3 linked regions of the Arabidopsis thaliana genome follow. The protein of the gene in region 3 interacts with the protein of the main gene of each other region in a pairwise test. Each region holds a gene or a part of one and is shown on either strand. Other genes may lie near its edges.

Region 1 (3,753 bases), on a different chromosome or scaffold from region 3:
GCATGTGCTCTGTGTTCCATTATCGTTCTATCTATATAATAAACATAGGTATGTATGTATTCTGATCCTCGAAACTAGCGTGTGTGTATCATGGAGGGTGGATGTGGCCAAAAGTTATCTAAAAAGAAAAAAGAGAGACACACTTAACGGTCTTCAAGATTGTACCCACTTCCTCATTAGCTATTACTCTATTAGCCCCCAAATATCACTATGCACATTTCAGCTTCTTTCAACAAGATCTAGAATAAGAAGATGAGAAGCTGTAAGCCTGAAACTCCATTACTCGTATGTCAGATCCGGATCCCATACATTACATATACATATAATACTGTTTACGTAGGTGCAACTAAGCCGTTCTATGCAATTCCAATGCTCATTAATCTGTACGCTTTTTCTCTGCTACAGCCCCATTTTGGATCCCATGTAAAATGATATCCTAGCAAGAAACTAGTATATGTAACACATTACTCTGTCTAGCGAATCAAAGTATTAAGCATCTGCAGCCTTCTCCTCCATTTGGTCCTTCAAACCACCGGTCCCATCCTAAGTTCAAAGGTCCATTGGTTCTGCCAGCACCACAACATCCATCAGTTATTCAGTCCAAACCAACACTAGAGTTTCAAGGTTTAAAAAGCACTCACAGTGGCAACAGAGGATCGGGTCCTTTCTCGATGACAGATAGCAGCCTGCGAACCAAGGGAATATCAATTTGATCACCAATCAACGTACAAGTTTCAGTCAAATCCAGATAATATACCTACAGGAGCTAGCACACAGTTGCTTGCAAGCGTTAAAAAAAAACATAGGTTGAGTATCCCATACTTACTCCTCACACACGGTTGATACAATATCTGTGTTCTCGACCTCCTTCAACTCTTTCTGGATATAGTACATGAAACAGAAAGAGAGAGTAAAGCTATTTTTAGTAAGTGTTAGAGCTCACTAGTAGGAACAATAGGCAAACACATTATCTGTGCAACAGAGAAACTTGGGAGAAGGTTAACTTTTAACATGCCTCGATAGATGATAACCAAGAGAGAATGATACTAATTGGACTATGATCAAAAGTATTCTTGCACATCCCTAAGAATAAGATCAACAGAGAACCATTCCAATAGTGGATCCAAAGAGAACCCAGCAGATTTAGATTTTGGGAATACAATTCATAGAGTCATAAACAAGACTGACTGAAATGGTGCCACTTATTGTCAAGAGAACTACCATGCTCTTCTGATTGGAACAGATCTGCCATACTGGTTTTTGCTTTCACAGGAAACAATCTTAGCGACCTTTACCTAATTGTTGTAACAATTGATCTAAAAAGGATAATTGAGCTATCCACGAGAGACCTACGTCGGAATTTGAAAGAGATACGAGTTAGTTTAGCTACCTCCAAGAAAGCGACTTCCTGTTCAACGCGGGCAAGCTCTGCAAGGATCCTGTGCTTGCCCCCGCCGTGAGAAACAGACTCCTCCTGCTCGTAAACCACAGTTTCCTCTCGCATCCTCTCGCTAGCAGGTCGCAGATCTGACAACGTCAGAGAGAGTCTGGTCTTAGTCCGTACAAGTTTGAATTGTCGTCGAAGTCTCTCTCTCTCTGACTCAAATCGACTTTTCCCTTCCATTTGCAGAAAAATGCCAAAACGCCCAATACTATTATTTGGGCCAATTCTTGCAAATGAGCCCATGGGCTCAACAAAGGGATATGTGTTGTCGCAACAAACAACGTGACCGTACATAAACATGTGGTTGGAGTCAGTACTGACTCTGTTAGAGTTAGAGGGTTTAGTCACACTCTCATTCTCGTTTGTGTTTTTGATTGGCGGAGAATTGGTGATAGATAAGCTTCTTCTTCCCTCTTCTCAACTTGGTGGATCTGTCATCGATGGCCTCTTTGATGCTCAACGGGGCCATTACCTTCCCCAAAGGTTTAGGTTCCCCTGGTTCCAATTTGCATGCCAGATCGATTCCTCGGCCGACCTTACTCTCAGTTACCCGAACCTCCACACCTAGACTCTCGGTGGCTACTAGATGCAGCAGCAGCAGCGTGTCGTCTTCCCGGCCATCGGCGCAACCTAGGTTCATTCAGCACAAGAAGGAGGCTTACTGGTTCTACAGGTTCTTATCCATCGTATACGACCATGTCATCAATCCTGGGCATTGGACCGAGGATATGAGAGACGACGCTCTTGAGCCAGCGGATCTCAGCCATCCGGACATGCGAGTGGTCGATGTCGGCGGCGGAACTGGTTTCACTACTCTGGGCATAGTCAAGACAGTGAAGGCCAAGAATGTGACCATTCTGGACCAGTCGCCACATCAGCTGGCCAAAGCAAAGCAAAAGGAGCCGTTGAAAGAATGCAAGATCGTCGAGGGAGATGCTGAGGATCTTCCTTTTCCAACCGATTATGCTGACAGATACGTTTCTGCTGGAAGGTATCCTTTTCTTCTTCTTCTTCTTCTTCTTCTTCTTCTTCTTATAATCGTCTTCTTTCCGGTGGGTTTGATTGTGTGTCTCATCATCACACAGCATTGAGTACTGGCCGGACCCGCAGAGGGGAATAAGGGAAGCGTACAGGGTTCTCAAGATCGGTGGCAAAGCGTGTCTCATCGGCCCTGTCTACCCAACCTTCTGGCTCTCTCGCTTCTTTTCTGATGTCTGGATGCTCTTCCCCAAGGAGGAAGAGTACATTGAGTGGTTCAAGAATGCCGGTTTCAAGGACGTTCAGCTCAAGAGGATTGGCCCCAAGTGGTACCGTGGTGTTCGCAGGCACGGCCTTATCATGGGATGTTCTGTCACTGGTGTTAAACCTGCCTCCGGTGACTCTCCTCTCCAGGTCTTTTACCTCCCACTTCACCTTTTTTACTTTCTTCTCTCTTTGATACACTAAACTTATCACTCAAATGCTGCAGCTTGGTCCAAAGGAAGAGGACGTAGAGAAGCCTGTCAACAACCCCTTCTCCTTCTTGGGACGCTTCCTCCTGGGAACTCTAGCAGCTGCCTGGTTTGTGTTAATCCCTATCTACATGTGGATCAAGGATCAGATCGTTCCCAAAGACCAACCCATCTGATCCTTCTCTTCTAGGACATGATCATTGTATCATTGTAAACCCCTCTTGTGGTAAAGAAAGATTCGAGTCCTATCTATGAACATGCGGAATATCATTAACCTTCTTTCTTTACATGTATTACTAGATTTTCATGTTGAGATATCTATGCTACTTGTTCGATAAATTTTCTACAAACTTCGATTCCCAAACTCAATTCTGCCAACATATATCAGTCTCAATTTGATCAATGTTCCACGATCTGTAATAATGCAACTAAGGTAGAGTATTATATATCCGACCAACATAAAAAATATCATTACCTATTATTGCTTGCACTAAAACACGGAAATTAAAACAAAAACTCGCAAGTCAGCAGAGAAACCAATGGATGAGAGTGACCATCAATCCGCATAGCTAACCAGACCTCTCTTTCCTGGTGGAGAAGGTGAGTGAGAAGGGCTGAGTGATTCTGCAGGAGAGGTGCGTCCTCCTCTGATGGGGGATCTCTGTGGCCCGAGACGGGATTTCAGGTCTTGGCTAATTGGCTGCCTCTTTCTAGGGCTCTGGCTACGGCTACGATGCCTCGGACTCTGGCTCCTGCTTCCGTCTCTCAATCGTCTACGGTACCCATCTGGACTCCGAGAAGTGCTCCTTCTCCTCCGGTTGTACCTATGCAAGACAACACTCAATTTCAGAGGACATC
Region 2 (3,753 bases), 1.2 Mb from region 3:
GGTATCAAAAAATTTCTATGATCTCTGCCATTACCTAAGCTGCTGCAATCCCCACCACAAACAGTAGAAATATCTCTCGAAGAACTGTGAAGACACAACGTTTTTCGTGATTGCATTCCCAAAGATCCCATACTTGAACTCGCCATTCCGTGCATCACAGAGTTTAAACACTTTTGTGACATTTGCCCAAGTCATCTGATTATTGTCATACATTGAATCACAGTCTAAGTAATATAGCTGACAATTAACTTGGCCAGCTTCACCATTGCATCTTGATTTCCAGCACGATGTATATCTATCAACCGATAATATATACCAGGCTGCACCAAGCACCTGTCCCAACAAAAACATTGTAGCTTTGATTATCATCACATTTAAGGAATGAAATAATGGAAGAAGAAGGAATGGGATTCATACATGACTAGCCAGCATGTATAGCAAAAGATTATAAGCAGCTCCAGCCCAAGCAGTCTTTGTAACAACTCCAGTTGCTTTAACAATTTGAGAACTTAACGGAATTATCAAATAGAATCTTGGGATGTATTGGAGGAGCACAATCAAAGCAATAGCATTGTTGTTATGATCAAACCGGTAACTTTTTGTAGTCGATATAACAAACCAGATAACTATCTGTGGAAGTGGTAACGTCGCAATGAGATCGATGATGAAGTCAGATTTAATATACCTCCAAGCAATAGCCTTAGGATCCATCACAAGCTCACCTCTACCAAACACTCTAGTACTTGAATTAGGCGCAATGAAACCAGTCCTAAACTTAATGAAAATGTGCAGCAAGTAGAAAAGATCCGCTATTGTCCTGAAGAAAGTAACAAGGATGCTTAAACTTGTATCAGTCCTTGCACAAGGATAGTTTTTATCTCCTCCTATAGCTGGGACAAAGAAGTACAACGGGTCGATGAAGAGAGCAACCATACATGAGACAATGAAGACCCAATTCCATTTCAAGACAATCTCACTTCCTGGATCAAGAATAGTCTTGTACCATGAGACTTTAGAAGATTTGGACTTAGAAGCATCAGTGTATCTAAGTCTATTTCCAGGTAAGAGATTATCAGGTCTTAGTGCTGAAGGTAAAGAGAGCTTATAAGATTTGCTCATTGGATCATTCACTGCCCATTTAGCTTCTTTGCTTTCTTTCCCCTCTGAGTAAAACCTACAAAGCAATACACAACTCAAATCTGTAATCTGAAACCTAACTAGAGATTTAAGTTAAACCCAGTACCCAAAATCGGAGCTTGAGCTTGTAACATCTAAAGAAGAGATAAATCTAAAGCAAAGTCTAGAATTTTTAATTTCTGGGCAATCAAAGTTGAAGACTTTCAGGAACGTAAGTCTAACCGACGGATGAGAGAAAGAAAACTTACATAAGAAGCTTGTCCTTCCTTAACTCCATTAGAAGAAGCTCAAGCTCAAGCTCGAGTAAACAAATCTATGCAAATTAGAATTAACAGAAGCTTTTAAAAATCATTTCTTTGATTCGTGTCTCTGACACTCTCTCACTCTTACTCTCTCTAAATCTGAGAAAGATCGTGTTTTTGTTTAGTTCTTCCGGAGAGGATTGGAAGAGGAGAATCACTGAGTCACGGGACGAGTCAGAAATCGGAGGGATATTTGTTTTTTTTTCTTGGGAATACTTGAGCCATCGGTATAAGACAAGAAAGTCAACACATTTGACTAAAGTGACATTATTTCGTTAATCAAAGTCATTATTAGTTTACAATACAAAACACTAATTAGACAATGTTACTTGTTACTTCACAAAAACACTTCTTTAGTCTTATAGTCAGATCCAATCACAATCACTTTCTCCGTGTGAGTCACAATCTCACATTCCAATCAGAAAACGATTCTTTAGCCTCCTTTATTTTTATGTTCAATATAAACTTTTGAATCACACACTTGAAAACATAGTTGACATAACTTTGGAGGTGAAGTAGGTAAATTAAAATCACATGAACCAAGCTTTACTTAGAACTTATACTTCATCATGGACAAATTGAAACAGAAACATTGATGATTAACCACTGAATCTCAAGTGAAATTATGAGAAATCATTAAGGTAACATAAGCAACATGTTTAAAGTGACAAATGGACAACATTTCTATCAGTAATTGACTAGATTGAATTTAATAATTGGCATGATAATCAAACCTCAAACTAAGTTAAATTCTACAGAAACCCATCATTCTCTTATTGGATCAAATTCATCAAACGGTGAAGAAACAAGCTTTCAATTGTGAAGCCGTGTAAAAAAAAAAAAAAGACACTGTACATGACTATTGATGAAAACCAAAATTGCTGCTAAATATGATAACAAACTAAACACACTTTCAAATCTAATTATAAAACCACCGATCAAAAAATTTCACCTTGTGGTCTCCATCTTCTTCCTTCTTCAAATCTATAAACCCTATCCCTACAAATCGGACAAGTCGAGACTTTAATCAACCACAAGTCCACACACTTTCGGTGAAACACATGTCCACATCGAGGCAGCTTCCGACACCACTGTCCTTGTCTAAATCCATCGATACAAACAACACAATCATCGCCTCCGTACTCTGAACTAGGCTCACAATACTTGAATTGAGGAAGCCTCTTCACGCATCTTGGAGATAACCCATCTGAGTATTCGTGACGGCGATGGCGGCGGAGACGGTGGCGATAGTTTCGTTGAAGAAACCAGTAGAAAGCGAAGAAGAAGGTGAAACCGAGAGACGTGAGGATAAAGATAAAAGCGGTTATAGCTACAGGGATCATGATTAGACCTATGAGGAAGTTAGAGAGAATCTTCGTCGGTAGATTCTTCGTGTTCGCTTTTGGCGGCGGTGGAGACGGTGATGGCTCGCGGGAGATTGAGCCATCGTAGGGAATCGTTATCGACATCGACTTGCGGCGGAGATTAAAAATATTCTCTTTTACGAATCAAACTCTAATACTCTGTTTTAGGGCTAAATAAAGGAGAGATTTTTATGGATTTTGAAGATCGAAAATTTATCGGATTCAAAGTATATTGTACAAAAGAGTTTGTCTGATAGATATTTATATGCGGGAATATTCGGACATCTTTTTTATATCAGTTTTTGACGATAACTTTTTAACTAGTTTTGGCCCTTATGAGAGGAACTCGTGAGCAAAGTCTTTTTTTTTATATACCAAATTTTTCATTAAATTGATTAAATTTAACTAGAAAGAAGAAGATTAAGCGTATATAAACACAAATACACAGACACGTTTTAAAACAATGGGGTTCTGATAAATTATGTTACTAAATTTTGATCATACAGAATGTAGTTTGGCGTTACAAGAAAACTAGAGGAGAAAACAAAGGGCGAAACCAGACTTCATTTAAGGATAAAGTATTGGTGATGAGATTATATAAAATAGGGTTCAGTTTTGGGTTCCAATTATTATCTCTGTCCTCTGAGCTTCCTATCTGGTAATGCCGAGTGGGAAGTGATAAGGACAATCCGACAAGGGCAGCTTCCTCGGTAACTCCATTCCTTATGTCACCATACCTACCTTTACATTCAGAAATTCTTTGCATCATTTTTAATATTATCTCGTTGTTTCTCACGTTTTATTCCGGTTCATTTTGCGGTTATGATCCGGTTATCTTCGTGGTTGAGCTTGGTTTAGAATAATGTCTCTTATCGTCTCGTTCGGCCCATTAACGCTCGCCTCATAACTGTTCCATATGTACTAGTCCATAAATATTGATTTCACTACAT
Region 3 (3,753 bases):
ACACGAGAACAACCAAAAAGACAGTCACCTGAATTCGGAACTTTGTGTTGTTCCAGTAAAATTAAGCGAACACAAGGATAGAGTTCTGATTCCTTTTACGAAAGCTCATAATTAAAATAGACCATATTATACAACATCCTAGTCTCCAAGAGAACACCTTTTCATCTAGTAAAATAACGTAGCATCTATTTGGCGACACTACTTTCTGACTCCTACAAATGTAACACGTTGCACGAATAGCTTTTACAGGAAGACAAACACGATCAAGGAAACTAAAGACAATAATTAGGCTGCTTATTAAAAACGTATTAAAAGAAGAGAGTAGAATATGGTGCATACAAGAAACGGAGTTTCTTAAGTCGGCCGAGAGTTGATGGAATAGGCCCGCTTAAATTGTTCAAGTAAAGATCCAAGCTCACCAATTCCGTCAGATTTCCAAGCTGTTCTGGGATTGTCCCAGTAATGTTATTGCTATAAAGCTCCCTGTCATTACCATTCTTTAATATTAATTTCACCATAAGATCGGAAAGATATATAACTAATAATCTATGATAATGCAAAATTATGCAGTTATTTGGAACATTGTAACATTTTTAACATCCCACATACACCAAAAGTTAAAAGACGGCCTTTTAAAGAAAAGATGACTTACAAGTACTGCAAGTTTGGAAGCTGACCAAGTTGCATTACGAGCTGTCCAGATAGATTTGCATTCCCAAGGTCACTGAGCAAAAATGAAGTTCAAGTAAATTCTCAGTAGATGCGAAAATCCGAATCATCTTGGCTAGATATAGAAAGAAACTTACACACGTGTAACACTATTGTCGCTATTGCAAGTAACATGAAACCATGTACATGGAGTAACAAGAGTAGCATCCCAACTTTGAAGCACCTTATTAGGGTCGGCTAAACTGTTTTTCAGTGCACTTAGAGCATCACCTACAATTAACCAAAGAAGAAGAAAAAATCAAACTTTGCAATCATCAAGTGTCACGAGGATACATAATCACTGGAATCAGTCGAAACAGATGTAACCCAAATATAACTCAAGTCAATACAGCAAAACAAGTAACAGATAAGTTAAAAATGCCTTCTTTAGGTGAGAACAAGCTCTCATAAGCCTATACTAATCAAAATACTCAACAAGGGAAACTAATTTAATTGGAAAGAATGAAAAATTGAAAGAGAATGAGAGAGAAAGGGGAAACCTTCGGCGTTGCCCGAGACTCTGAGAACCAAATCCAAAACGAGAATCAACCAAAAGAAGCAAGGGATCATTAATCTTCGTTCCATTTTATCCTCAAGAGATTAAAAACAAACCCTAGAACTATCCCTCATCAGAGAAAATCCATCATTGTTAAAACCCCTGATAAAAGGGATCTCGAATCCTTCGATTAAGCTACCACCCACACAAGGTAATACCAAGATGATGAAATTAGAAGCAGAATACGAGAAAAGCCCTCTCAACGCGTATCCACCCGTTGACTTAATTTGAAGAGAAAATCAAAATACCCAAATCGATTAATCGCGGAAACCAAAAAAGCAAAAAAAAAAGAAACTGAAGCTAGACTTTTCCGATTAGAAGGAACGCCGAGATCGCTGACCGTTGACTACTTAATGCTGAGAAGAGAGAAAACTGAGATAGAGAAAACGAAAGGAGGAAGAAGATATTTCCTGGAAATATACTAAAAAAGGGTCGAAACAAAGAGAGATGAGAGAGAGGAGAGAAACCAAGTTATCGCCGAGAGCAAGGAAGGAAGACGAATTTTAATTATTTTCTTTGCTTAAAGAAGGGATTTTACTGGGTTGAGTTGTTGTACTGTGAAAACTATATTAAAAAAATGACATTTAAGATTGAGAAAACGACAAAGAGGATGATGACGTGGACGAGCATTTTCAAAGCTTTTTTAGAGCTAGTCAAAGTCAAAGACGCACGACTTCATTCCGAATCATGTTTGTTATGTTCGCCCACCTTATCATCATCCATCATATGACATTAGATATAAACCATGATGGTCATGAACTCATGATAGTTGATAGTGAGTTATATACCATCATCATAATCCTAATTACCGGCCCAGCTCTATTTTTTCGGGCTTTTATTGTTTATTGGGCTTGGTCTTAATAGCAAGTTCGTTTATTCCAAAGATGAGCAAAAGCTTTTTTGATTTTTTTATTCTTTTTTAAAGATTATAGCTCTAAAAAATTACAATTCAATATTGAAAAATGTAAGCTGAATAATCCATCTGGTCCAATGAATTAAACAAAACAAAAAACATTATTGTATCATATATAATTTACTGGTTGATAGTTTAACTATTTATGCCATTTAATATTTTTAAAAGAACAAAAGTAATTTTGAGGAAAAATGAAATAAAAAACAAAAAACACAAACGGACAGAGTATATGTTGCCAGCAATAAAATACGGACATATACCTTAGTTTGGCATTAAAAAACAAAACAAAAACACAACAAACAACTCAGTACAGTAGGCTATTTAAAGGCCCATCAGATTAAGACTTGGAAGTCTGACGAGATTGTAACGCCTCACAATCCTTCCTACCCGTGAGTCCGTGACCGATTGTGTATCATCCATCTTCTTTCTTCTTCTTTCTTCTTCTTTCTTCTTCTTTTATATATAAACCAAAATATAATTCGTGAAGACTTTCACTTTCTCCTTGCCACTTTTTGACGATTCACATGCACCATCCAATATTTTAGTGCCCTTTTCACGACATATCTGTGTCTGTATCCAATTTTCTTATTTACTACTACTTTTTTCTATTTATATATACAAAAATAATCAAAGAGAGAGACGAATTTTCGAGGTAAGGTATCTATCGACTTTCTATCTTCCTCCACCTTTGTTTGTTGTCACCACCACACTACGCTAATCATTGCCACACACATGCATAATTCTCTCCAACCATCTAAAAGTCCCACTTTAGCATTCTTCTGTTTGTAATTTTATCTCAGAGCTTGCTTCATGGGCTTTTGAGTTTTCTCTCTGTTTCCAAAAAACAATGGAACCGGAGAAGAATCCGACCACAGTATTGAGTGCCATTACAAGACCTTCGTGGGCGTTTCTTCTCCTTGTTTTCACCGTCTTAGCGATTCTCTCTCTCCAAATCTCTTCCAATTCTTTTCTCCCTCTCTGGATCCCGACTTCTCAATATGACGACCCTGTTACCTGCTCCGGGTTTTTCAATCACGACCCGTTCCCTAACCGGATCGTTATGTCGATTACCGATTTCGGCGGTGTTGGAGACGGAAAGACGTCGAACACGGCCGCTTTCCGCCGCGCCGTAAGGCACCTTGAAGGTTTTGCGGCGGAGGGTGGGGCCCAGCTCAATGTCCCGGAGGGCACGTGGCTTTCTGGAAGCTTCAACCTCACCAGCAATTTCACGCTCTTTCTCGAACGCGGCGCTCTCATTTTGGGATCCAAGGTTATATCAAAGTTTTGAATTCTTTAACACATTGATAAAGTTTACTTTTTTTTTGCTTTGTTTGTTGTTGATTGGTTCTGAACAGTAGTAGTATTAAGAGAATTCAATTAGTTGTTGATTGCTCTGTGAGAATCCAAAATTTGGGTTTGTGATTGCTTTTTGATTTGTGGGTTCATAAAGTTTTGTTGGTAAACACTATATTCATTTCGCTAATCACGGTCAGTGGTTAAAATGGACCCACCATTGTTTGATACAGCAAAAAAGCTGTTATTTTTGAGTGGGGATAGTCTCTAGTAGTGCGAAATC

What was found.
Region 1: the proteins of BAK1 (region 3) and GG1 interact in a two-hybrid assay, tested with the Arabidopsis thaliana proteins (one study listed by BioGRID).
Region 2: the proteins of BAK1 (region 3) and CNGC17 interact in a two-hybrid assay, tested with the Arabidopsis thaliana proteins (one study listed by BioGRID).

What each region holds. Positions count from the first base shown.
Region 1 is NC_003074.8:23,415,134-23,418,886, reverse strand, and holds the start of GG1 (Ggamma-subunit 1), read right to left. Parts: upstream 1,639-3,753; 5' UTR 1,625-1,638; coding exon 1,391-1,624; intron 880-1,390; coding exon 827-879; intron 687-826; coding exon 642-686; intron 567-641; coding exon 482-566; 3' UTR 1-481. Other genes in the region: APG1 (S-adenosyl-L-methionine-dependent methyltransferases superfamily protein), read left to right, coding at 1,885-2,435, 2,530-2,836, 2,913-3,071; AT3G63400 (Cyclophilin-like peptidyl-prolyl cis-trans isomerase family protein), read right to left, coding at 3,452-3,719. UniProt on the Arabidopsis thaliana protein: Guanine nucleotide-binding proteins (G proteins) are involved as a modulator or transducer in various transmembrane signaling systems.
Region 2 is NC_003075.7:14,856,366-14,860,118, forward strand, and holds the start of CNGC17 (cyclic nucleotide-gated channel 17), read right to left. Parts: upstream 1,655-3,753; 5' UTR 1,415-1,654; coding exon 1,386-1,414; intron 1,175-1,385; coding exon 418-1,174; intron 334-417; coding exon 35-333; intron 1-34. Other genes in the region: AT4G30370 (RING/U-box superfamily protein), read right to left, coding at 2,378-2,908. UniProt on the Arabidopsis thaliana protein: Probable cyclic nucleotide-gated ion channel. Forms a functional cation-translocating unit with AHAs that is activated by PSKR1/BAK1 and possibly other BAK1/RLK complexes. Required for PSK-induced protoplast expansion.
Region 3 is NC_003075.7:16,088,996-16,092,748, forward strand, and holds the start of BAK1 (BRI1-associated receptor kinase), read right to left. Parts: upstream 1,783-3,753; 5' UTR 1,294-1,782; coding exon 1,209-1,293; intron 940-1,208; coding exon 807-939; intron 725-806; coding exon 653-724; intron 484-652; coding exon 340-483; intron 213-339; coding exon 72-212; intron 1-71. Other genes in the region: AT4G33440 (Pectin lyase-like superfamily protein), read left to right, coding at 3,025-3,447.